Linked DNA regions of Cricetulus griseus. The protein of the gene in region 7 interacts with the protein of the main gene of each other region in a pairwise test. Links are inferred from orthologs where the notes say so. Each region holds a gene or a part of one and is shown on either strand. Other genes may lie near its edges.

Region 1 (3,500 bases), on a different chromosome or scaffold from region 7:
AAAAAAACTTTGAATAGGTCCTTAGCAAATGTCTTTTGAATTGGTATGGAAGTTATTCCATGCTAGTGTAGAAGGCTGGCTCAGGCTAGCATTTGAATTGGTCCTTCTCAGAAATGACAACAGAGGACACACTTTTCATTCATGAACCGTGTCTCTGAGGCAGAGGAATCTTTGGTTTCTTGTCTTGTAGGACAATCTGAAGTAGTTCTAACTAAAGTGGATTACCTGTCTCAGGAGACTCAGTGCAAACTCCAGGTTCTGCAGCCTCTGTCTGTTGATAGCATTAACCTCTGTGAACTTGGCAGAAAGAACAGCTTCCTATAGAGAAATTTTAGGAGAGCAGTTAGCAGGTAAGCTAACAAGCTAGAAGAAAAACAGAGCACTTGGGCACAGGCTAGGAAGAGCCTGGCAAGTGGTGAAAGGAGTGGTACTTTCCCATTCCTACCCATAGCTCCATCCATTGGTGGAGAGGTAGACTTAGAAGACCCAGGTTGAGTCTTGGTACGTGACCTTTGAGAAAAATCTTTCCAAATAGTCTTTTCATATGTGTTAGAGTATGTACGGTTCTGCATTACAGACTCACACAGGGGAGCAAGATGGGAGCTTCCCATGTGCCTGGCACTGGGAAACAGTGCTCAGGAAAGGACAGCAAGTTGGATGTCAGCCATGGGATTTCTGTTTCTTTCTGTCTCTCTGTCTCTCTGCCTCTTAGGCATTTTGATATCACTGCCCCAAAACAAGTTCTTCCTCCTCTTCCATGTGTATCACAGAGGACTGCATCCAGAGAGCCTTTGGCAGTCTTCACTCACAGCTTACCTCTTCCTTCACCTTGGCAGCAGGAGACTGCAGCCTGGCTCTCTTGTTCACATGGCTGTTCCGTCCATTCTCCAAGTCTAGCAGGGACCTCAGCTTCTCTGCTTCAAGCTCGTAGTCCTGGATAAAAGAAAGACGGTGCAGTAGTCAGCTAACAGCAGCAAAGGAGCAGCTGCAATGACTTATGCTCCATCTAAGGACTCTGACCTGCCCTTGGCCAGGAGCTGGTTTTACAGTCTTGCACATCTTCCTCACATCTGTACCTGAGCTGGGTGCCAGGAGGTTCTGAGAGTTTCTAAGACAGTGACAAGTTGCTATCTCACACAGCGATATACATACAAGAAAAAATGCTCTGAAATTCCCACTACTGCAGAGACAAACCAAGTGACTCTTGAAGCCCTTCCAACAGGCCCAGAGGCCAGATACCACTTCCTTAGTGAACACTACATCCTGAACTTGTCCTCCTTTCCTCCATCACAGACCTTGACATTTCCCATCAAGTAGACTTGATCATTCCCACAGATATTTCTGCACAGGCTTTGCTAGTTTGTTTTCCTGTTACAGAGCTGCCACATAATTTTGTTTGGTGTACATTGTTCTGTTGTTTTGTTTTCTTTTAGTATAAATGCCTACAAAGAGTTTACTGTTTCAAAGAGTATAAATGTGATGATATTGGGTACCTGGTGCCATACTGTTTTGCCAGAGGGCTGGACCTATACATGGCTACTTCCTGTTTTCCCAGTAACCTGTCCAGATTTCTCTGCATCTTATAATGCAAAAGCCCCTTCTGTGTGCTCTAACAGGGTTCATGGCTCACCTTCACAGCTTGCTGGTACTGCTGGGAATCTGCATAGACCTTCTGCACCTCCTGTTCTCTGCTGGCTATCTCATTAAGCAAGTTCTGTAAAACAAAAGATACTAGAAACCAAAACTGAACCAATGCATTTGCATGGGCATGCATGTATACACACACACACACACACACACACACACACACACACACACACACACATATCAAAAGTCTGAATCCTTAGAACCTAAAGTCAACATGCTATAGTTCCAAGTGTAATGATGGCTTTCTTGTGTACATTTGTTTACCACAAAGGGCAATGCCAAGGCCTGGAGCAAGAGACATGAAAATGAATATCTATGCCAGGAAACAGGTGTTTATTGTGCTCTGAAATGCCAGGCACTGTTCCGACAGAGCATGCAATCCTCCAGTGGACTTGTGAGCCAAGCCTGAGGAACTTGAGAATGAGGAAACAGAAGCTCAGGAAAGGACAGCAAATTGGATGTCAGCCATGGGATTTCTGTTTCTCTCTGTCTCTCTGTCTATCTCTGTGTGTGCACATGTGGAGGTCTACATCATGTGTCCTCCTCTATTGTGCTCTACTTATTTTTTCAGACAGGATCTCTCACTAAACCTGGAACTCAACCATTTTGGCTATTCTTGCAAGCCAGTGAGTTTCAGGGATCCATTTGTCCCTCTTTCCTCCCTGCTCAGTGCTAGGGTTATAGACATGCTTAGCCATGACTGGCTTTTTAAGTGGGCTCTGGGTCTCAAATTCAGGTCCTCATGTTTGCATGGCAAGTGCTTTTCTGACTAAATCATTTAGCCGTGGCCATTGGATTTCTGAGGTCCTTGTGGCACTGAAAAGGCAGAAAGCCCAACACTGATAATGAGATCTTCCCCCAGAGGGTTCCCTATGTTCTGTCAGGTGCCATGAGGCCAAGCCACATGAATATCTGTTGCTTTGAGCCCTATGAAGGGCATCAAGAGGGAAGAGGTGAGCGAGACATGCAGTACTTGTGAGGTGATACTAGAAGCTGTGGCCCAGTCCTTTGTCTTGCCTCACTGGGCTTGAGGATTTCTGATCTTCCCAAACATCCACTGCAAAGTAGAAGCAGCCATCTTACCTTCTGGTTCTTCAGCTTGGTCTCCACCTGGCTGAGGCTGTCTGTTTCCTGGGGCTGGTAGGTGGGGGTGTTAGCCAAGAATTGGAGCACTTGGTCATAACCGCGGCGGTACTCATTGTAGGCAGCTCTGGCACTCTGCAGGCACTGGGCCCTGAGGGGACAAAGACAATCTGGTCTACACAGCAGGCAGAAGCCTCACTGATCTCTCTGTTTTGAGGGGTGGTGTTCTTTCTTGGTTTGTATGTATGTAGGTAAATAGGTCAGATTGACTGGCCAGTGAGCTCCAAGAGGTCCACCTGTTTCCACCTCCACAGCTCTAGGATTATAAATCCATGCCATCATGCCTCCTATCCTTTACATGTATGCTGGGGATAAAACTCAGTTCTCATGTTTGTGTGACAAGGACTATTCTGACTGAAACTATCTTCGTAGCCACACTGAGTTTTAAAAGAGTAGAAAAGCCAACTGTAACTGAACTGGACAAACTTGAAACAGTCCCAGAAAGCAACAGTTAAACATGGATTATTAATGGGAGGGTTAGGAGCTGCATCCTGATGGTCACAGGGGCACTTGAGCAAAGGGAGGCTACAGTGGCGGCTGGGAAACCCTCCAATTCCCTCAAGATGAAAATTTCAGCATTGCAGTCCCTTTACAATGTTAAATTCTTACATGAGGAAAGGGAAAGCATCTTGAAACAACAACAATCTAAGCTCCCACCTTAGAAAAGAAGACAGGCACATTAAACCCAGTGCAAGCTGCCTAAAGGAAGC
Region 2 (3,500 bases), on a different chromosome or scaffold from region 7:
GGCTAAGAGAGTATCCCTCTATGTGGAGTGGGATCCCAAAGTCCATTTGTACACTAGGGATGAATACTGATCCACCACCAGAAGCCCCATAGATTGCCCAGGCCCCCTAACTGACACCCACGATCAGGGGGTCTGGGTCAGTCCTATGCTGGTTTCCCAGCTATCCGTCTGGGGTCTATGAGCTCCTCCTTGTTCAGGTCAGCTGTTTCTGTGGGTTTCTCCAGCCTGGTCTTGACCCCTTTGCTCATCACTCCTCCCTTTCTACAACTGGATTCCAGGAGTTTGGCTCAGTGTTTAGCTGTGAATCTCTGCTTCTGCTTCCATCAGCTACTGGATGAAGGCTCCAGGATGGCATATAAGGTAATCATCAAACTCATTACAGGGGAAGGAAATTTAAGGAGGCCTCTCCACTATTGCTTAGATTGTTAGTTGGGGGTCATCCTTGTAGATCTCTGGACATTTCCCTAGTGTCAGATTTCTCTTTAAACCTATAATGTCTCCCTCTACCATGGTATCTCTTTTCTTGCTCTCCTCTATTCTTCCCCCAACTCAATCTTCCTGTTACCTCATGTCCTCCTCTCCCCTCCTCTTCTCCCCTTCTCTTTCTCCTAGATCCACCCCCCACTGCCCGTGTTCCCAATTAGCTCGGCAGATCTTGTCCCTTTCCCCTTCTCCAGGGGATAAACATACTATGCAGCACACATAGTATAGTATATAACTATACTGTAGTGAAGACACTGATCTGAATAAAGAAGTGAGATGAAGTTTTAGAAAGTAGTAATCAAAAGATTATACCAAGGGGGGTATAATAAAAATATCTAAGGGTTTTTATTTCTCTAGCTGCTTGTTTTTATTTATCACATATAGCAGTCACTTGCTTTATGTGGATTTAGTGAAACGAATAGTGACCATAATATTTCTTAAAATTTAGTTAACAATTATCTCCACAGGCAAGGACACAGAAAGCGATTTACTGAGCAGAAGAACATTCAAGTTGTTTGAACTGTAGTGAAAGTCTGCTCCCCAAAAGGGATGGTACAGTGTGGGGAAAAGATAGAGTTTGTATCTGAGATAAAGAGATAAAAAGAATCTTACCCATCTTTGGTTGACAACCTGATGGAGATTCTCTATCATGTTCTTCCAGTAATTGCTTCTGATTTTGTGGATGGCTCTGTCCCACATAATGAGATTGAGCAACAGCTGAGGAGTCAAAACTCATGTTGCAGAAACCACTGAATTTGTTTCTGTTGACTTCTCCACTCTTGTACACCTGTAAAAATCACAATCTTTTTATTTTTGAAAGATTAAAAAACTGACAGATCAGAATTATAATATTCAACACAGACAGCTCACCTGAGAATTCTCAACATGCATGTTCACTTTTGTACCAGGCACTTCGTTTTGTTCCCCATGCACTTGAAAATAGAACTTAACATTTTGAGCATGTATTTCACTCTGAAAAAAAAAGATGTGACTTTGTTTATTTAACACTAAATATACACCTAAAATATACACCTTTCTGAATGTGAGGTCAGGAGACATCAATTTTTTTTTTGAGTCAGGATTTCTCTGTGTAACAGAGGCTAGCCTTGAACTCACAGAGATCCACCTGCCTTTGCCTCTCAGGTTCTGGGATTAAAGCACCACCACCACTCGGCATGAGACATCAATTTTAGCAGACTTAGTAAACCTTTTTTTTTTTTTTTTTGAGATCAGGGCCTTGAATAGGCTAGGCAAGTGACATACTTTTGAGCTACATCCTCAACCCATGACTACAATAACTATAAAGAGTTTCACTCTAAACTTCAGTTCAAATTAAAATGAATGACTCTACAACTTAGAAGTCAGTATTTTTCTGTTAAACATAATAATAGGTTTCATTATGACATTTTCATGCATGTATATATTTTCATTATATTACATTATCTCTTTTCTTCTATAGTGCCTGCTAATTCCCTCTTCCCAACTGATGAACCCTTCTACTTTCATGTCTTTTTATATGTGCCACAATTGTCTTCATAAGGAAAACTTACATGAAGATTAGTAAAAGATATTTACAGGATTATGAGCACCTTATCAGGGACTATATCACTGCCAAAAATCTCTCCCATCCCAGCAACCATCAATTGCCAATAGCTGCACAGGGAGTGATGAGGCCTCATGATCTCCTTTCTCCTAGCAACTGCTAACTGTCAATGGATCTGGGGATGGGTGGGAGGCTTATGACTCTCTCAATTTCAAAGGCAGGAAGCTGACAAGCCAAATCAATAGTCTACATTTATTATACATGAATACTCTAGGAGTTCTACAGCATCGCTCAAAGTTGCTAATACCTACATTATATTTACTACAATAACAGAGAATACAAAGGGAGACAGAATGGTGTGAAGAAAAGGAACTTTGTGGTCAAAACCAATGAGTTTAATCTGGACTCCATAAACTTAAATTTGTATGTGACTCTCTTTTCCTGAGCCAATATTCTTGTCTGTCAAATGGAAGTGTTACCACGTTTCAGGTTCTTAAATTAATCAAGTAAGGTGACTTATATGAAGCTGACTTGCTACACTTAAAAATATGTTTTCTCATCTTTGTTCCCACTGTATTTAACCAACCTCATAATGTGAAATCCTTTCTGATTCAAGATGCAGTACCACTCCACATGCTTGACAAAAATCATCTGTAAAATATGCAGATCTTTCTTGTCCATCACAGGTGGCATCTATTAATAAAGTAAAGAAAAAAACTACCATATCAATGAAGTTTGAATTAATCAAATTTTCGGGAGTATGCAGTAACAGCCCTTTCCTCAAATATGCCATTTAATGATGTCCAGGCAGTAACATTAGTTAAATGGACACAAGTAACTTCAGGAAACTTCACAGAATGATTTAAGGAAGCAGTAATGAAAGGCTGAATTAAAAAGATAGTTTTGATATTTTTTCTTTACAGAAAACAATCCTAAAAATATAATACAATCCTAAGGTTTATAAGACTGCTATATGAGATATGGCTCCAGTGTTATTTAAAAATCACAAGGGCAAATTTCTTCCATCATTACAAAAATACCAGGGCACTTATTTGTAAACACACAAATTTCACATAAATTTCACATAAGTCTCCCTCCAAATATATAAAGCAATGTTCATATACTACAATCCGGAAATTTATGCTGTAGTTCCTGTGTCCATAATAAAGAGCACACACCCGATAGTTTTATATCTACACTTTAAGTCCACATTTACATCTAATGTTCTTAACAGCTTCAGTGGATTCTTCTGTCAATGTTTATTGGTTTATCTATAGGTTATTAATTAAAATAATCAAACCTTTGCTGCTAATTTGGCTTTTTAAATGAGCAAGTTTGTATAACACTCACTTTCTTTTTTCTTTTTTTGGTTTTTTGAAACAGGGTTTCTCTGTGTAGCTTTGAAGCCTATTCCTGGCACTCGCTCTGGAGACCAGGATGGCCTTGAACTCACAGAGATCCGCCTGCCTCTGCC
Region 3 (2,878 bases), on a different chromosome or scaffold from region 7:
ATGTGGTGGACAGCACAGAGCCAGGCATGGCAGCACAGGCTTTTAGCCCCAAGATTCAAGAGACAGGCTAATCTCTCTCTGTGAGTTCAAAGCCAGGCTGGTCTACATAGTAAGTTGCAGGTCAGTCAGGGCTACACAGTGAAGCCCTGTCTAAAAGAAATAATAATTAAAACAAAAGAAATTAGCACAGATCTTGTTGCATCAGTAAAAAATAAACTTTCTTTAAAAGATTTATTTTATGTCATGCGCATGAGTGTCTGCATGTGTATACATATGTGTGTACCCCACATACATACGTGGTGCCCAAGGAGGCCAGCAGAGGATGTGGGATCCCCTAAAACTGGAGCTACGGAAGTCTGTGAGCCACCGTGTGGGTGAGCCAACTCTCCAGGCCTCCAAATAAACTTTTATCACCTCAAGCCCTCTACCAAAGTTTTTTTTTTTTTTTTGGTGGTTGTCTATATGGACTGCCATTCGAGAAATAGTTCCCCTCTTCCTCTCCTGTCAGTGGAATATGCTCCACTACTCGACACTGGAATGGGGAATGGATGGTGAGTTTCACCCCTAGCTGAATATAATAAAACTTATTATCTAAGGGGGTTGCACAAGCTGAAGAGGTAAACTTTTCCAGGAATTCATATTCCACTCCCGAAATGGGTTAATAAGAAAAGCAAGATTTGCAGGCACACTGGCTTTTTCTTTTTCTTTTTAAAATCACATTCAAGGTTAACTGAAGGAGGAAAACCACACCCTCTGGTACAGTGTTCCTAAGAGACCTCTCACTGAGAGAAGGAACAGTGGAGCCCTCCCAGGACTCTCCAAGCTCCCACCTCCACCCTTAGACAATGCCCGAAACAGTGTGTTTTAAGAAGCACAAGAAAGGAAAGGAGGAGACTCTAGAGAGGCAAACACCAGAGACTTAGGGCGAGGCAAGCTGGGTGTCTCCCGCGAGCAGGGCTGCAGTAGAGCGCGCGTGCTCGCCCGCCCGCACACCCACAACCCCACACTACACATACACGCAGCAAAACCTCAGTCCTTCCCCGCTGCCACCCACGCCCTTCCCACGAGGTGAGCAGCAGGCTCCTGGGTACTGGGAGAAGGAGATGCAGCAGGGAAAGAGCCCGCAGAGAGCTTGTGTCTGCCACCCCACCGCGGGACCGCAACGGGCAAACCTCGCGGGCCGAGAAGGGCGGAGCCCGGGACTGCCTGGAGATGCTGAGCCCCCGACCCAACGCGCGCGCTGACCACGCCCCCCCACGGGCTGACCACGCCCCCGCTGCGGCGGGCGAGAGGCGGGGCGGGGCGCGGTGTATATAAGGCGAGGGGCGGGCGCCGCTCTTTTGTCTCTTGCTGCAGCAAGGCGAGTGGGAGCACCTGGAGCGCGAGCTCGGAACGAGACTCCACGGTGAGACACATCGCTGGGCTTAGGGCCTACCCTGGGTGGGGTCGGGGCAGCTTGTGGCTGGCGGGAGCGTTCCCCCTGGGTTGCAACAGGCGACCCGGCGGTTTGGAACATTCCGAGGCTGGCAGGCCACGCCCTGGGATTTAGGAGGGAGGGTGTGGTGGACGAGCCCGGGATCCTCGGCCTCCGGGCCGGGAATGCCACGTCGAGAGGTGTTCGCGGAGGGCGCAGGATCCAGGGATCGCTGGTCATCCCCAAGCCTTGGTTCGCCCATCAGGGTTCTAAGAAAATGGCAGACAAGCCGGACATGGGGGAAATCGCCAGCTTCGATAAGGCCAAGCTGAAGAAGACCGAGACGCAGGAGAAGAACACCCTGCCGACCAAAGAGAGTGAGTTCGCCCCCGCCTCCGGGTTCCCACCCCAGCACTCCACCCTTCCCTGCTGTGCCAGCCCGGCACCCCCCACCCCCATCCGGCCACTACCTCCCACCCCGAATCTGAGCGGCCACAGCCACCCTTCCAGTTACACAAAGCACTTTGTCCCTTCCAAATCCCCTTCTTGTCCCCAGGCCTCGTGGGTGCCTCACCCACGCCAGGTTTGTGAGGTGGGGGGTGGGTGGGCTGCAAGGTGGCTCGCTCCATCCTGCAATGCCCACATCCCGCCCTTCGCAGCCATTGAACAGGAAAAGAGGAGTGAAATTTCCTAAAAGCCTAGACTGGAGGATTTCTCCACCCTACCCCACCCCGTCATCTCCGAGACCCCCTCGTGATGTGGAGGAAGAGCCACCTGCAAGATGGACGCGAGCCACAAGCTGCACTGTGAACCCGGGCATTCCGCGCCGATGCCACCGGCCCGTGGGTCTCTGAAGGGGGACCCCCCCACTAATCGGACTGCCAAATTTTACCGGTTTGCCCTGGGATATTATAGAAAATTATTTGTATGATTGATGAAAATAAAACACACCTCGTGGCATGGCTGGCGTGGTCTGAATCTTTTAGTTGAGTATGCGTGGGCAGAGCTGCACTGGGAGTGAGTTGTGCCGCAGAGACGGGTGCGCGGCGGCGGGCGGGGGGGGGGATCACTTTTATTTTGGTTTTACGTGCTTTACCCTAAGGTTTCCTGGGTTCTCAGCCATTCGGCTCTCAATGCAAATTGAGTAAAATTTAACTCCATTTTGAAACATGCTGCCCAAAAGATTAAGATGGACTTCTGATCAGCTCTTCAAATGCCGCCCTGTAACCTCTCACGCATACCAGAAGCAGTGATTTAAAGTCTGAGAGGAAAGGGGACAAATAATCACTCTGGAATGTTGGAATTGGCGAGGGTCGGGGTCGGTCCCTCACAAACACACAAGGTTCTCCTCTACATGTTACAGAATGAGATGAAATAAAAAAAAAAAAAAAAACAAAGGCCGGATTTAGTGAAACAACTGTTTTATCAGAGCTTGCAGAACGGACATCAGAACTACACAACCAC
Region 4 (3,993 bases), on a different chromosome or scaffold from region 7:
CTCTACTCTCCCACACTGGGAGATGTTTATAAGCAAATTCTTATCTGAGAATGGTCAGTTAGCACAGAGCAGGTTTCACAAATGATCAAATGGGACATTTACAATGAAGGATTTCAAGAATTTTACTTTCCTGTGGTTCCATTTCCATAAACCATGCTTTCCCCCTCCCCATCCATATCTGAGGACTCAGCCAGCTTCCCTCACATGATTTCAGGTAGCCGAGGGGCCACAAGTACACAGTGGGTCCAAGCTGAGAGGTTCCTTACTAAACACACATTCTGCTTCCTACTTGGAAACTGGACTTCCAAAATATGGGCATTTAGTAAATAGAAATGGTGGGTTCAGAAATTGTCTGTTCTCTCATCTTTCTGTAATTTTATGCCAGTTTTAAATACTTCACAACTAAAACATAATTCTCAGTTTTTAACTATAGGAAGTCTTAACCATGTTGGGATTGGGGAAAATGTTCAGATAAATTCCTTTTAATTTAATAGTTTAGTGAACATACCATCTTTTAACTAATTATCTTGTTCTGTTCTGCTTGTATTTTAAAATAGTAAAAACTGCAACATGGCTTAAATGAAATTCTTTCCCTTTTCACTGCTCACTGACTGCTTTGGTAAACAGACAGACACTCTCTCTCTCCTTCATACTCTCCCTCTCCCCCAACCCTTCCTTCCTCCCTCCCTTCCTCCTCCCCCTTCCAAACCTGAAACAGACAGGTCAGGTTAATTCTGTTTCAGAAACAGTTCATGTATATTCTAAGTGACTTCCAAATTATAACAGCATTGACATAAACACTGTGTGTTTGTGGTGTTGAGGCAAGTACTCTATTGCCAAATCTCACTATGGTGCTCAAGCTGCCCTCACTCTGTAGCCCAGGTAGGCTTTGAACTAGTTATCATCCTGCCTTGGCTTCTGGAAGAGCTATCATTGCAGCTAACTTAATGTATTTACTTATTTATCCATTTACATTTTTTTCTATTTATTGTGTGTAAGAGACAGAGTGGGCAAGAAGGGGAGAGGAAGAGACAGAGACAAAGGATAGACAAAGATAGAGTGCCTGAGTGACTGTGGAGGTCAGAAAAAGCATCAGGAGGTCAAATAACTGAAAAGCACTCATCTGCACATTATCATACAGTGAACAAGATCTGAACTGTCCCCCTCAGCCAAATAATTCACTTAAGTTTTTGCTGTTCATTTGGTGAGAAGATAACATAATATTGTTCTCTGAGTTGCAAAAACTATCTGGCTTTATCCATTCAGTCAATTTAAAGACAGTGTGTTTGACAATTCTTAAGATACATGATATAACAATAATTTACACTGAGTTTTGTCAAGAAACATTCACACTGTCAGAACAACTTTATATGGTGTTTCTTCAATTAAAGTAGATGGATCAATGGATGAGAGCACTTGTTGCTCTTGCAAAGGACCTGCGTTTGAGTCCTAGCACCCACAAGGCAACTCACAACCATCTATAACTCCAGTTTGTGGGAATCTGATAACCTCTTGTGATCTCTGAGACTACCATGCACATGGTGGACATGTATACATACACACAATACATGCACATAAAATAAACTAAAAAATATTTTGAGCAGATGGTTTTTGGAGGTCTAGGGAGAACAAAAGAATTGTACCACCTAACGTAAGTCTAACTGCAAACAACATAGTGTAACGACAGAGAGTACCAGCCAGTCAGACTTGGACTTGTTGCCCAACTCTGCTATTTACTGAATCTGTTACCTGTGCAAATTACTTACCCAATATTAAAGCCCAGTCCCTGTTTATACCGTGAAGACAAACCCTACTTTGAGACCTTTAAAAGAATTGTGGGTATATGTAACACCTGGTTCGGTGACCAAATGTTAATTTCTCATTCATAAATGTAAAGTAATGCAGACCTATGGGCTAAGCTGCTTTCTAAAGAATACCATACCAGATCAACAAGATAACAAGTGAGTTCTCTTACATGCTTTCTTCATTTGCTATTTGTGGATGGTGCTTGCATACAACTTCAGTACTTCCGTATTACAAGATATGAGGCTATCAGACTGTAAAATAGAAGCCTTGTTCTCAACACACCAAAGACAGACATTATGAGCAATGTAAGAAGCACGCTTTCAATCGCCAAGGAAGCACTTGCTTTTTTGTGCATTTTTTAAAGAACGTAGTCTTTTTATAAAACAAGAAAACATAACACCCCGTTTTCCTCCAGAGAAACTTAGACAAATAAGGGAAAGAAAAATTTCTTCTAAAATTCTATAATCAGGTGTCAAAGTGATAATTGTCGTGGTGACAGAAACGTCCCTATTTTGTTCCTCACCTTAAAAAGTAGACATTTCAACTTTTCATCAGGATAGCTGACAATGATTGTGTACAGTGGGTTATTATGCATAGAGGAGGCTAATGGCAAAGGAATCCAGTGGCAAGTCAGTCTACTCACCCAGAAGCAACCAGGGCTTAATAACGCCAACTTGCAGGTCCAAGCTAAGGTCCTGCACATAGCCACAACCACCCCCACCGCTGGGCTCTGCTTCCACAACATGAACTGTGGCATCTTTCCAGCTTTCTATAATTTTCTTTCCAGTTAGCGTGGTCACCCTGGTGCACTGCTTCCTGAGATTATTCCGGGAGAATGCTTTGATTTCTTGGTTCAGGGAGTGCATTACATGAGCGGAGGAGGAAAAGCAGCAAACACAAAGAAACTGCACTCACTACCAGTCACTTACAGTAGCTGGCCGCGGAGGTGACAACCGCACCTCTGACAGAGAGCAGCTCAGCCCTGCTGTCCCCAGCACCGTTCTAAGAAGAGATCTCATTGGCTGCTAAGAAACAGGGACCGATTGAATGCCGCTTCTCATTTGTTGACGAAGTTCTGTGCCTTCCGGGTCCATTCAGACGCAGCTCTGTCGGGGCTTGTCTTTAGTGTTTGATCCCTGCATTATCTTGGACACGGGATGGTCATTTCTAAGACTCACCTGAAGAGAGTTGGTACCTCCTGGCTCTCCAAGGGTAGTGCTTTCTGGGAATGTTCGACTACTTACGATGGTGACGGTGGAGACTGCTGCTGAACCATCGACTCTTCCACCCTGCCCGGATCCTCTTGTGGCTCACTGGGCCTAGCCTAAAGGGGCTACAGTGGCTTCCAGGGCCTGCTCCTCTTTTGTCTTCCTTTTTTTTATTTTTTATTTTTTTATTTCTGCTGTTGCCCCCGGGAGAAACATTAACTAGATAAAACCACTGAATATATTAGTGTGGCTCCAACTGAAATGCAATGTAAATAAAAGGTCGTTTTAAATATGTTCCTGTAGATTAGCAAGGCTTAAAATTTGTGTATTCGGATTTTGCACGCCTTAAATACTGAAAGCATGGCCGCAATTGGAGACATAGTTGAGAAAAATCAAGTATACAAACCTAAATATACCAAACGAATGAGTAGAATGATGCTTTTGCCCGCAAAGGATGATTTGTTTCGTAAAATGAAACTACAAGATTTCTTCAACTGAAATTTTCCTACTAACCCTTACTAAAAGGCATTTTTTAAGGTAATTTGAATGTGATGTATAATGTTAAGACTTCAAAAAATGTATTCACCAGCATTACATACAAACATTTGAAACTTTCTGACATTAAAGTTAGTTTATGGGCTGAATTTTTATGTCCTTTCAAAATGAGTTGAAATTATAGGCTCAAGTGTCTTGATATTTGGAGATAGGACTTCTGGAAGGATAAATAGTCTTATATTAAAACATATGACATGTTTAATGGCTTCATGAAAAGGGAAAAGAACTCTTCCTTCCCTTACCCTGTACCAGATAAAGGAGAATAAAGGAAATTGGGAGTAGTGGATGTCCTCAAGCCCAGAGTGGGAACACACCAGAAACCTTGTGTAGGCCAGCACCTTGATTTTATATTTCTTGACCTCCAAACCACAATAATTACTTTTCTCATGCTTACGCTATACAGTTTATACTTCTTGTTAACGGC
Region 5 (3,500 bases), on a different chromosome or scaffold from region 7:
ATCCCAGAAGTAACCCTATGAATTAAGTTATTGTTGGAGCCTGCTCCAACGAGTCAGCTGGGTAATCTAAGTAGGGATGTGAGGATTGAGTAAAGGAATATAAAAGAAACAGACAGAAACACAGGATAGATTGGGGAGGACTGCCCGGTCCATGTCTTTCAGCACACCAAACAGAGTTTAATTTAGATCCTGTTTATATACAGACTACAGGCAAAGCAGAACAAAGAACAGCATAGTCAATTAACCAGCTCTCTGCACTGTCCTTGAATCAAAGAGAGGCCAGGTTCACTCTCTGTCACTTGAGTCCTGCTAGCAACAAGCAGCTTCATTCCCTATTTCTATATGCCTTTTGGCTGGAATCAGAAGCTTGTTAGTTAGATAATTTGTTCTTTTCCATAGGCTTGATCAGAACTTTCTCACAGCTCCCAAGGAGACTGAAACAAGCAAGCTTGAACTCTAATGTCTTATAAGTCAGAACAGACTCCAGATGGAAACTGAGTCACTTTTGGGCTGCAACAAGTTGTCAGTGCTATTAACATTTAATTAGAGATGTGAGGTAATGACCGAATACAGTTGAAATAAAAATAAAATCCATACAAAAATTAACTGAAACACAAGCCATCTGAATCCAGAAGCAAAGCTACCAACAAGAGGGTAACCAATTTTGTTCTATAGAGTCCAAACACTATTTTTAAGTGTTACAGGCTATATGACCTCTCTCAAAACTACTCAACAAGAGTTGTCAGAGTTAAACAGCTACAGATCACATATAAATGAGTAAATATGGCTGTTTAAACAACAACAACAAAAACTTTTATTATAGAAGCAGGTGACTGAACTATATCTGGACTACATAGGTTACTTGACAACCTTTATTCTTAAATATCAAACTATACTTCCACTCAAACTCAGCATGACCAGGATGAGAAGAAGATATGAAACAAGCAACTTACCTTCTTTGCCTTTGAATCTTTCCTGGTCATATCTGTTGTAGGCAGCTGGAATAGGCTGCTTCGTACGCAATGTGGGATCCTGAAAAAAAAAAAAAAAAAAAAAAAAGGAAAAAAAAAAGGGCTTATTTAACATTCTTAAAACCTGATACAGGGGCTGGAGTGGTCGCTCACAACCTGATTATGAGATCTGGTACCCTCTTCTGTGTGTGCAGATATACATGGAAGCAGAATGTTGTATACATAATAAATAAATAAAATCTTAAAAAAAAAGTGTTATTCCCAATATAGGCCAGAAGACAAAATAAGGTAAGATTACTTGGCATTTGATAACTAGGATTCACTATTGAATATTATTTGCTACTAAAAATTGATCATCCCGCTGGGTGTTGGTGGAGCACGCCTTTAATCCTAGCACTTGGGAGGCAGAGGCAGGCGGATCTCTGAGTTCGAGACCAGCCTGGTCTACATGAGCTAGTTCCAGGAGAGCCTCCAAAGCCACAGAGAAACCCTATCACGAAAAACAAAAAACAAACAAACAAACAAAAACTTGACCATCCCTACACCAAGAATAAAGACAATTTCAAGTATACCTGTATCAAAACTGCAGAAATAATATGGTAAACAAATACGTTCTAATTACTTAAATGACTTTGTGAAATAATACTCTCTCCAATGATAATCTGAACAGAGAGAGCTCCAAGACAGTCAGGGCTACACAGAGTAACCCTGTCTCAAAAAACCAAAAAGAAAGCAGGGTGTTAGTAGTGCACACCTTTAATCCCAGCACTCGGGAGGCAAAGGCATGTATGTGGATCTCTCTGAGTTCGAGGCCAGCCTGGTCTACAGAGGAAGTCTCAGGATAGGCTCCAAAGAAACACAGAAAAACCCTGTCTCAAAAAAACAAAAAAAAAAAAGAATAAGAAAAAAAAGACTAAAGTAACAGGCATTCAATAAACACTTATTAATGTATACTATAAGACTAAAGTAATAGATGTTAGTTTTAAAAATTTGAAAATAGACACTTTCTAATTATGTAATCTAATTCAAATATTTCATACTAAACTTATAGTCTATAATAACCTAAAAATAGTTATTTAAAAAAACATTTTAAAGTTACCTAGGAAAATCACTATATTTATATATTCTTCATTTTGTTACAATAGGATTACACTCTAATATTACAAAAGAAAAATTATCAAGAATTTAGCTACATATATACATCTGTATGATCAAATGCCAAACATAAATATTGCAACTGTTTTCAATGATTATAAAATACACAGAAGGAATACTCACATTCACAAAGACAATGGTTTAAATATCTTAAGGTTTCACATTCTTCCTACCAATAACTATTGAGGACTCTAAAAATCTTTAAGCTAAAGTTACAATTTATGACACTAAAGATAAAAACTGACAAATTTTTAAAGTAGGAATTGACTCCTTAAAAAAATAAGAAAAGCAAAATTCGATGTAAACATATTTAATAAAAATTATTTTCCAAAATCCACCAAAAAAGTAGTAAGACTAAAACTTGAAATTTTATAAATGTGTTTAATATCTGACTTACTAAAAATGATAACTATGACATTGTATTATTTTATCTCTAGTTGCTCAAAACATTACAGAACAACCAGATACTAGTTATTTTTGGTACATCAACTAAAGGTATCTAAATATTACCAATAGTTCAGTATCTGTAAAGATTAAATATCAATGATTTCATGCATAAATAAAATTAATATTAACTTCCAAGGCTATGTTTAGCACTCTACCAATGTTTTTCCAAACTCTATATAAAACACAATTAATCTGAATTATATTTTTTGCCTTTCTTGAATCTTGAGAACAGGTAGAAAGATTTACAGCAAACTAGAGGGTATTTATGAATTTAAATGGAGACTATATGGCATGCATGAATTTAGGGTTTGGAGGGTCCTAAGTAATAACCTTAAACAGTGAGGCGCTCAACCACCAGAGGAGTTAAAGCTGGGGTACAATAAATGGGCCATATGGCAGGTGACAAGGGAAAATAAATATACCAATATGAAATGGTCACAAAAGATTTCAAATAACAAGTCCAAACTGGAAGGTAACAATGATTTATATTTAAACAATAATTAACAATTTTCTCAAGTAATAAATAGGCCAGCTACAGATAACCTAAAAGTTAACTAACTTAGAAGGCTTTTCCTAGTTAACCCCTTTTCAGACTCTCACCCAGGTGTATCTCAAGAATGACCCAAATTATTGCTGAAATAACTTTTAAAAGTGGGAAGGGTCTTTTACAGCCTTTGAGTATGCTGAAGTAACAAAACTTTTACACCCTACTGATGTAAATTGTTTAAGATGTCAATTAAAACACTAAAATACAAAACGAATGTCACTTTCTTAAAAACAACAACATAATCAGAAAAGAATCTTACCACAGGGGCTGTATTTGGAGCAGGCCGCTGTTCCGGGGCACGCCCTTCTTCTCTGGCTTTTACAGATTGAAGAATTGCAAAAATATTCTTGGAAAAATTCTAAAACAAATAGATTCTAATT
Region 6 (4,087 bases), on a different chromosome or scaffold from region 7:
CCTGCTTTTGGAGCAATGGGATTTGATGCTACTGTACACCTATCTCCAGAAACCTCATCTTTAAAAAATTTACGATCCTAATGCTCACATAGTATGCATATGCACTAACACATAGGCATGAACATTAAATAAATGTAAATATCTTTTAGGCCAGTTAAATGATGATTCACTGGATAAGGCATTTGCCACCAAACATAAAGACCAGAGCTTGATCCAAGGCTCACATGGTGGGAGGAGAGAACCAGTTTTCACAAGCTGTCCTTTGATCTCCATGCAATGGTGCGTTCTCTCTCTCTCTCTCTCTCTCTCTCTCTCTCTCTCTCTCTCTCTCTGTGTGTGTGTGTGTGTGTGTGTGTGTGTGTGTGAATCAATGTAATGTAAGAGCCTGTCCTGGCACTTACTCTGTAGACCAGGAGCTGGCCTCGAACTCACAGAGATCCATCTGCCTCTGCCTCCTGAGTGCTGGAATTAAAGGCGTACACCAACACCACCTGGATCCATTGTTTTTTAAAAATTTTGTGATTCTGAGCTGAGCATGGTTTCATACACCTGTAACCCCAGGATTCCATAATTTAAGACAGTATTGCAAGTTCAAGGTCAGCCTGGGTTATAGAATGATGAGCCTTAAAACAAAACCAAAACTTAGGATCTTGGTCTTCCACCAAGCATGAAGATGGATGGGAGCTTGGGAGGGGGAGAGGGGGCAACTCAGCTATATACAGCACCCATCTCTAGCACTATGGGGAAGGGAACATGGAATGAAAAGAAAAAAAAAATGCCATTGAGATTCAGTATTGTGACAAAATTTGGCTCCACTCAGAAATAGAATATCCCATGAGAGCGAGAGCTGACCCTGCATAATACCTACCTGCCCAGTCTCATATTTTCCATTTTGTTTTGGCACCTCAAACACACCAACTGTCTCCAACACTTTGCCTTCTGCACGGTTTCTAGTTGGGAAGGAAGAAAAAGAATAAGCAAGTGAAATGCTGAGAAGGTAACAGTCCTTCTCCATCAGAAACAAACAAACAAATAAATAACCCCTATCAGACTGAGGGGCCAGGGCAATGACAGCAAAGGCCAAGGATGCTGTTTTTTTTCCCTTAAGACCCATCCACAGGCCTCTATTTGATGAAGACTTTCCCAGTCTCCCAGTGTTAGATCTAACTACTCCAAATTTACTTTCTTCTTTCTTCACTTAGCATTTCCAAGGTCATGCCTGCATATCCTTTTTAAATATACATCTTTCCCCACCCCCCTGGACTACCACAGCATTTTAACTGTCCTTCCTGTTTTGCTGGTGTCCATGAGAGACTATTTGTTCCCTGACAGCAATGCCTAGTATGTAAAAGGTGCTCAAAAGGCATTTGTTCTGGGGCAAGCAGTTCTGCTGTTTCTGCTCTTACCCACTGCTTCCTTGCAGTATGCTTAATAAACCTGTTATCTGCTACTTTGAAAAATTGTTCTGAATTGAACATGGTTCCCACAAGTCTGTAATTTCAGAACTCTTGAGGCTGAGGCTGGAAAATCACAAGTTCTGGGTCAACCTGGCTACATAGCATGACTCTCCCAATTCTACACATCCATCTACCCTCTAAACTATAACTGTCTTTACCATGACCTGAAGACTTAACATCTCTAGATTCCCAAAGGATCAGCACAAAGTACACTTAGTACTGCAGTCTCTTTACATACCATCCTCCCAGAATTATTTAATTCTTAAATAGCAGATACCTCCCTCAGCCACAGTTCCATCAATTACCTTTTTATTTTTTCATCACATTAGTTTTACTATTACTATTATTACCTATGCCTTTAAATTATAGGATAGATAGAGCCAACCTCACCATACCATAATCCCTTTGTGCTATCTTATATTCCTACTTGTATGGATCAAAACTCATACTGAACAATGAGTTCTGGGTTGCAAGAGAGGGTTTATTTTTGCACCTGTCAATTACCCTTTTAAATAAGACTACTTTTTCTATGGACTCGTCAGAGCACTGTGATTTTATTTTGGAAATTCTAACTTCATACCCAACTCGATCAATCCTGTCTGGTCCCTAAAATACTTTGTTTACACCATCCCCAAGCCTGGAACCCTCTTTCCCAAGTCACATAGGCAAAAACCAGTCTCCCCAAGGTCACACGGAAACCCAGGACCCACAAAGGTAGACACTTAAGTCGACTTGTTTTCCACTTAATAGCATCTTTCTGAGAGAAGCCATGATCCACGAGGGGCTGGGGATCAAAGTCAAAATCCTTGTAGCTGTATTAAATGGCAGCCCACTACAGGTGCTGGGGACCCTAGCAAGGGAGGCAGATTCGCTGAAGAAGCGTTACTTGTTCTCCCTCGGAGCTGCCCTGCACTGCCAGGGCCCTGGGCCGTGCTCCCTTCTCTGCTCCTGGCACATGTCCCAAGCAGCGCATGTCGGCTCCCTACTCGGGACCACTTCTCAGGTGACACTCCGGTTGCCCACAAACAGTCGGGCCTCCCGGTCTCCTCAGTGGCTAGGAACATGCTCCCCAAATTCTGGGCCCGGCTCCCTGGCTCCCTGGCCCCCTGGCTCCGTCCCTCACCGGGACGATAGATGCCTTCGCGTCGTCGCTGTGGCCACCAGCGGAAGGGTCCCTGCTCCACCGACCGCACACAGCGGCCTCAACCCTCGGGCCGTGACCAGAGACCGTGACCACCAGCGGCTGCCCACGGCCAGGGCCCGTCGGGCCGCACAGGCAGCCATGTCCCGCCCGAGCGCCCGCTCGGCTGCTGACACAGGGCCCGACCCGCGGCGGGGCGGCGTCCCGCCCCCGCCCCACACTGCCCCGCGCCTAAGCCCCGCCCCCTGGCCCTCGGGCCCGCCCACCGCGTCCGCGCGGGCTCCTCCAGCTACATCCGGCGCAGGTGAGCGGAAGTCCCACTCTGGGATCACCTGACCGGAGCGTGCGTTAGAAATGGCGTCTTCCTTGCTTGGTGGTGAGCGACTGGTTCGCGCTTTGGGCCCTGGCGGAGAACTGGAACGGGAGCAGCTGCCCCGGAAGCTGCGTGCCCAGCTCGAGGCTGCTCTGGGGAAGAAACACACGAGCAGAGATAACGCCACGGGCCCCCTTCGCCTGATTCCCTTCCGTCTGATCCGAGAACTGCATCAGCACCTGAGAGAAAGAAGTGAGCGTTCCCCAGTCAAGAGTCGCAGCCTCATTTTCACCGCTAATCCCTTCTGAGGCCTTTTTTTTCGCCTGTCACTCTCGCGTGCCTGCCAAGTTCTCATTTAGCCAGTCCAGAACCCTCCTCATAAGCCCCGGGTTCACCACTTCCATCTTAAGTTCCGTGGGCATTCTTCATGTGTGACAAAACGTATTTGTGCAGATTTTGTTGAGTGTCCACTTTTAGGTCTACCTAAGTCCACCTGACTTTTAAGGAATTCGGGATTCTAGCGCAATATTTTCTACCATGTTGAGCTTCTCCATTTTGAGGTCATTTAACGTAGTGAGCTTCTGTTTTGGAATAGTTACTTTCCTTACATCTCAAAGGCAAGGGTGGAGATTTCTGATCCCCGCCCCAGACCCTGTTGGGGTGAGGGTAGGGAAATATAATAACAAAAAGGAAAGAAATAAAAGCAACTGTATTGAAAGTTCTGAACTGAGAGTCTCATCTAGTTCTAGTCCTTTCAAAGAATTTCTCCTCTTTCTTTGAACCTATTTCCTTATCTGTTAAGGGAGGGAGTAGGGTAAACTGGCATGTAACATGTATTGCCAGAATTAATATTCCAGCCAGAAGTGCAAAGAGTAGACCTTCAACTATTAGGACTTTAAGAGAACCTTAGAAAAAGATCCTCCAATACAATGCCCTCTGAGTGTTTAGCATCACAACGACCCAATTCTATCTAGGACAGATCTATTATTTTCACAGAAATAACCTCCCATTGGCAGGATAATTGAAGACTGACAGTTAAAGTCAACTGTGTAGTACTAGGAAATACTTAGGTGGAATTGTCCTAAATATTTCTTGGTTGAAAAATAATCTTGAGTAAAAAGAAAAATGAATGAATAAAAAGAGATAGAAAATGATGACAAGGCTGGTCATGGCACA
Region 7 (4,024 bases):
CTGGCTCAGCTGTGCAGCCAGGAAAGGGCACTTGCTCCCAGAGCCCTGGCTTGCAGTGGGTGACGGGTGTCCAGCCGGGAGCTGTGTGCCATCTGGAGTCTGCTGGGATTCGTCAGGAGCCTGCTGGACTGCAGCTTTGGCAGCCTTTTCTTCTGAGGAAGGAAATGGAAAGAATGAGACATCAGACCTGCTTGCCGGAGTGCACAAGCAAGTCACTGAGCCTTATCACCTCAAACTTCATGCTCGTTCTAGTCTATAACCTTTGTTAAACTCTGCTAATATCCGTTCTCACCTGTCTCACAGCGGTTCTTTGAAGGGTTTTTTGGCCCATCCCAGTCACCTTTCAAACTCACATGTGTTCTCCTTAGAAACCCAAGATCACTATTTTATACTTTCAGACAACACAACATTCTTTTTTCATTTGTTTAAGACAGGGTCTTGCTATGCAGCCCATGATGCTTGACTTGGCAATCCTCCTGCCTCAGCCTCTAAGTGCTAGGATTTTGTGTGCACTTAGCCCCAAAGCTCTTGACTTGGTTCTCCTGCCCCATGCACACTCAGCTTATTTCAGGACGGAGATGCTCTCTAAGGTAATTGGAAGCCGTCCCAGTTATTCTCTCTTCGGTTTTCTAAGAAGATTCCTAATAAAGCTTAACCAGTTTTAAAAATACTTCAGGAAAAAAAAGTGGGCTATCACTTAGATCTTCATGTTGTCCTCTCTGGGTTCAAATTATCAGGATGCCTGGAAAGACCCAGGTTACAGTCACACAGCTCACCTACTTTCTTGTTTAAGTTCACCAAAGAGAGCTGCTGATGTAACATAACTAGCTGGTTTTGTGCTCTAAGTTACAGTCACTCCTCGATCCCTTGAGCAATGCGCTCACCTTCCTTCTAGAAAAGTCTTCCTGCAGATTTTGGAATACTCCCATGAGTCACTGGCTGCTCTTTCTACCACTTGGGTAAGGTGTCTCAATACAGTTTCCATAACATTTTCTATAAAGGGAAGTCAAGAAATGTTATTTTGAAATTAACTTAATTTTACAAGCAATGCAGTTCTGTTATGGAAAGTCTAGACAACAGAAGGGAAAATGATTCTAACTCAATACATGGCCACTACAGACATTCTGAGAAAAGATAACTGACTCCGGACAGGAAGTCCCCTAAAGATCTAAGTCCTGCCCACTTACAGAACAAATGCTCCTTTCCTACAGGTACACACTGAGGAGAAGCCTGGAAGGTGAAACATTCACTGCAAAGCCCCTCTCCTGGCAGAACCTTACTGAGACCATTTGGGTCTATTCACTAAAACTTCTCTGTCGGTGTCAGATGCATGCACTGACAATCACTAACACACCTAGAGCAGTGAAGCTGACAGACAGGAGAGTTGGTGGTTGCCAGGAACTGGAGCAAGGAGTATGGGAGCTTTTAGTTTGGGAAGCTGAAGAAAGTTCTGGAATGGCACGGTGGTAGAACAACATGAATGCATGTAATCTACTGAATCACACACTTAAATGATAGAACAGACACTGTAGTAGTGCATGCTTATAATTCTACCATGTAACAGGCTGAGGCAGGAGGATTGCCACAAGTTGGAGGGCAATTTGGGCTATATTATGAGACTCTGATAGAAAAAAATAAAAAGCAGCTGGGCGTTGGTGGCGCACACCTCTAATCCCAGCACTTGGGAGGCAGAGGCAGGCAGATCTCTGTGAGTTCGAGGCCAGCCTGGTATCCAGAGCGAGTGCCAGGATAGGCTCCAAAGCTCACAGAGAAACCCTGTCTCGAAAAACCAAAATAAATAAATAAATAAATAAATAAAACTAAAATGGTAAATTTTATATTATTGCATTTTAACAAAATATTTTTTTTGTTTTTTTGCTTAAAGGGAAAAACACAAAATAAAACAAAAGGATGGCTCAGTGGTTAGAGCACTTGTTGCTCTTCCAGAGAACTCAGGTTCAATTTTCAGCGCTGCTATGGTGGCTCACAACCATCTGTAGCTCTCCAGGGGATCTGACCTCCTCTTCTAGCCTTCTTGGGCACCAGGCATACATGTGGTGCGGCCCAACACTCATACACATAAAGTAAAATCAATATATCTTTTAAAAAATAAAAACAAAACCTGGCAGTGGTAGCTCAGGTCTGTGGCGTCAGCACTGGAGAGGCAGAGGCGGGGGTCATGTCCTTGTAGCCAGCCCAGGCTACACAGTGAGTTCCAGGCTTGCATATGATACAAAGTGAGACATTGACTCAAAATACTAAACAGATTTTAAAATCGCTACTTTATGAGTCAAAGGCCAAATCTTTATTGAGGAAAAGGTTGCAAGTGACTGCTCCTACCAGACAATGAGGAAACACTAGAACCCAGCAGACCTGACATGTAATCCAGAAGCCTGTCTTATTTCACTTTTAAATTCAGGAGCATGAAAAGCTCCTAATCCAGGAGTCAGAGGGACAGTTACACAAGATGACCCCCTCCCATAGACAATGTTGATCCCCCTCTCAGAGTGGCCCTTACCACCCAGGAGGTGTTCCTTACTGCTAGCCCTACTTACTCTCATTGGCTGGAGGGGTTTCTCTGATCTGCTGGCAGTGTGCTGCTGAAGTGGACAGGGTTCGAGGGGCTGGCTTGGCCCCAACTTCCATCATCTTGGGGCAGTTCTGAGCATAGAACAAGAGAGATTTTCCTGCCTTCTGCAGAAAGGCCTGAGGGACTCGAGATAAGAATGGGCATCGTCGAACCACAGTCTCCATGTCTGCAAAGGTGCTGGTTCCTGTGAAGAATCCATGGTGAGTGATGTCAAGCGTGCCCCAGATACACGTCTCACTCAAAACAAAAACAAACAAAACTAAGGACAGCACCGACATGGGACTCAGTAAAGGAGTCACCAACTTCATTCTCCACCTCGACATAAAAGGCCCCCACCCCCACGCCCACCCCTCAACGCATCTTCACTGGAGTAAATAGGGACGATTAATACAACCAAGGGGGTGAAAGAGATGGAGGACAAAGCAGAATAGGTGTGGGAGGCCAGAGGCTCCTGGAAGGGTGTGCAGTGTTGGTAAGACACCTCAGCACATATTCCAGGGGCAACAGTGGGGCTAGGGAAGATGTCACTGTCACCATGTAGGGAGGGCTCCTGGGGAATCCTAGCAACCCGGGGGAACGGGGAAGAGTCTAGACCAGCCCTGAGTTCACGAGACAAGGTCATGCCCCCTAGAGCTGGATCCGGGAAAGGAGGCAGAGAGGAGGGTAGGTAGGGTCAGGGCTGACTCGGGCAGGAGCAAGGCCAGCCAGCCCAGAGAGTCGGGCTGGCGGAAGGGGGTCAGCGGTGAGTCAGAGGTTGCCCGGGGTCGCAAGCTCGAGAATGGCAAGGGTAGGAAGGAGATTATGAAGCCGCCTTTCAAAGGCCGAATGTCAGGAGGGGACGGAACGGGGCCTCTGAGGTAGCCTAAGAGGTAGAGGGAGGGTGGTGGTGGGGGACGCTGAGCCTGGGTGGGGGCCGGAGGGGGATGGGGCGTGTGGCCGCGGTGGCGGGGCGCGCCGGCCCACTATAGCAGCTTCGGGAATGCAACGAACTGCTGTGGCCCTAATATAGAGCCGGAGTGACCGCTGCGCATGCGCCGAGGGCGCGGCCTGACCTGCGCACGCGCGCCGGAGTCGGCAGGGCAGGGCAGCAAGTGTCTCCGACAGGGCACTGCTCCAGCTGGGCGAGTGTGACTTGGGCCTAGGCTTCCAGGATCAAGAGGGCAAGGCAGTGGGCGGGCAAGCCCCTTTTTGGACCCCATCCTTCGCCCTCTGTCACCTTCCACGAATAGCTCTGTGCGTCAGACTCCTGCGCCCCCGAGTAGGGCGTAAACCAGCCACTCAGGAAGCTACCTGATAGTGAAAGGGTTTCTGGGATTTAGAGGAAGGGGTTATGGGTCTGAAAAAGCTGATCAACTAGGCGCTTAGTTTTGTTTATGGCAATGACAGGGCTTTTCTACTGGCCTGGAGTATATAGCATTTAGGATTGAACCTAGG

What was found.
Region 1: the proteins of Alas1 (region 7) and Ppl interact in binary tests that used the Homo sapiens proteins (3 or more experiments, as listed by UniProt). The two-hybrid records come from large-scale screens. The link is inferred for Cricetulus griseus from reciprocal best matches to the Homo sapiens genes ALAS1 and PPL.
Region 2: the proteins of Alas1 (region 7) and Zmat1 interact in a two-hybrid assay, tested with the Homo sapiens proteins (2 studies listed by BioGRID). The two-hybrid records come from large-scale screens. The link is inferred for Cricetulus griseus from reciprocal best matches to the Homo sapiens genes ALAS1 and ZMAT1.
Region 3: the proteins of Alas1 (region 7) and Tmsb10 interact in binary tests that used the Homo sapiens proteins (3 or more experiments, as listed by UniProt). The two-hybrid records come from large-scale screens. The link is inferred for Cricetulus griseus from reciprocal best matches to the Homo sapiens genes ALAS1 and TMSB10.
Region 4: the proteins of Alas1 (region 7) and Dusp19 interact in a two-hybrid assay, tested with the Homo sapiens proteins (3 studies listed by BioGRID and IntAct). The two-hybrid records come from large-scale screens. The link is inferred for Cricetulus griseus from reciprocal best matches to the Homo sapiens genes ALAS1 and DUSP19.
Region 5: the proteins of Alas1 (region 7) and Cdc73 interact in a two-hybrid assay, tested with the Homo sapiens proteins (3 studies listed by BioGRID and IntAct). The two-hybrid records come from large-scale screens. The link is inferred for Cricetulus griseus from reciprocal best matches to the Homo sapiens genes ALAS1 and CDC73.
Region 6: the proteins of Alas1 (region 7) and Poldip2 interact in binary tests that used the Homo sapiens proteins (3 or more experiments, as listed by UniProt). The two-hybrid records come from large-scale screens. The link is inferred for Cricetulus griseus from reciprocal best matches to the Homo sapiens genes ALAS1 and POLDIP2.

The regions. Positions count from the first base shown.
Region 1 is NC_048600.1:41,606,355-41,609,854, reverse strand, and holds part of Ppl (periplakin), read right to left. Parts: intron 2,882-3,500; coding exon 2,731-2,881; intron 1,715-2,730; coding exon 1,631-1,714; intron 934-1,630; coding exon 817-933; intron 319-816; coding exon 226-318; intron 1-225. UniProt on the Homo sapiens protein: Component of the cornified envelope of keratinocytes. May link the cornified envelope to desmosomes and intermediate filaments. May act as a localization signal in PKB/AKT-mediated signaling.
Region 2 is NC_048604.1:45,073,013-45,076,512, reverse strand, and holds part of Zmat1 (zinc finger matrin-type protein 1), read right to left. Parts: intron 2,720-3,500; coding exon 2,613-2,719; intron 1,456-2,612; coding exon 1,354-1,455; intron 1,271-1,353; coding exon 1,096-1,270; intron 1-1,095.
Region 3 is NC_048601.1:64,695,442-64,698,319, reverse strand, and holds Tmsb10 (thymosin beta-10), read left to right. Parts: upstream 1-1,271; 5' UTR 1,272-1,405; intron 1,406-1,679; 5' UTR 1,680-1,691; coding exon 1,692-1,791; intron 1,792-2,073; coding exon 2,074-2,108; 3' UTR 2,109-2,378; downstream 2,379-2,878. UniProt on the Homo sapiens protein: Plays an important role in the organization of the cytoskeleton. Binds to and sequesters actin monomers (G actin) and therefore inhibits actin polymerization.
Region 4 is NC_048599.1:94,487,311-94,491,303, forward strand, and holds the start of Dusp19 (dual specificity protein phosphatase 19), read right to left. Parts: upstream 2,801-3,993; 5' UTR 2,673-2,800; coding exon 2,450-2,672; intron 1-2,449.
Region 5 is NC_048598.1:46,750,515-46,754,014, reverse strand, and holds part of Cdc73 (parafibromin), read right to left. Parts: intron 3,479-3,500; coding exon 3,380-3,478; intron 1,033-3,379; coding exon 954-1,032; intron 1-953.
Region 6 is NC_048600.1:91,900,370-91,904,456, reverse strand, and holds the start of Poldip2 (polymerase delta-interacting protein 2), read right to left. Parts: upstream 2,801-4,087; 5' UTR 2,742-2,800; coding exon 2,581-2,741; intron 2,004-2,580; exon of another isoform or gene 1,874-2,003; intron 951-1,873; coding exon 869-950; intron 1-868. Other genes in the region: Tmem199 (transmembrane protein 199), read left to right, coding at 2,953-3,163. UniProt on the Homo sapiens protein: Involved in DNA damage tolerance by regulating translesion synthesis (TLS) of templates carrying DNA damage lesions such as 8oxoG and abasic sites.
Region 7 is NC_048597.1:214,445,898-214,449,921, forward strand, and holds the start of Alas1 (5-aminolevulinate synthase, nonspecific, mitochondrial), read right to left. Parts: upstream 2,801-4,024; 5' UTR 2,755-2,800; coding exon 2,556-2,754; intron 153-2,555; coding exon 1-152.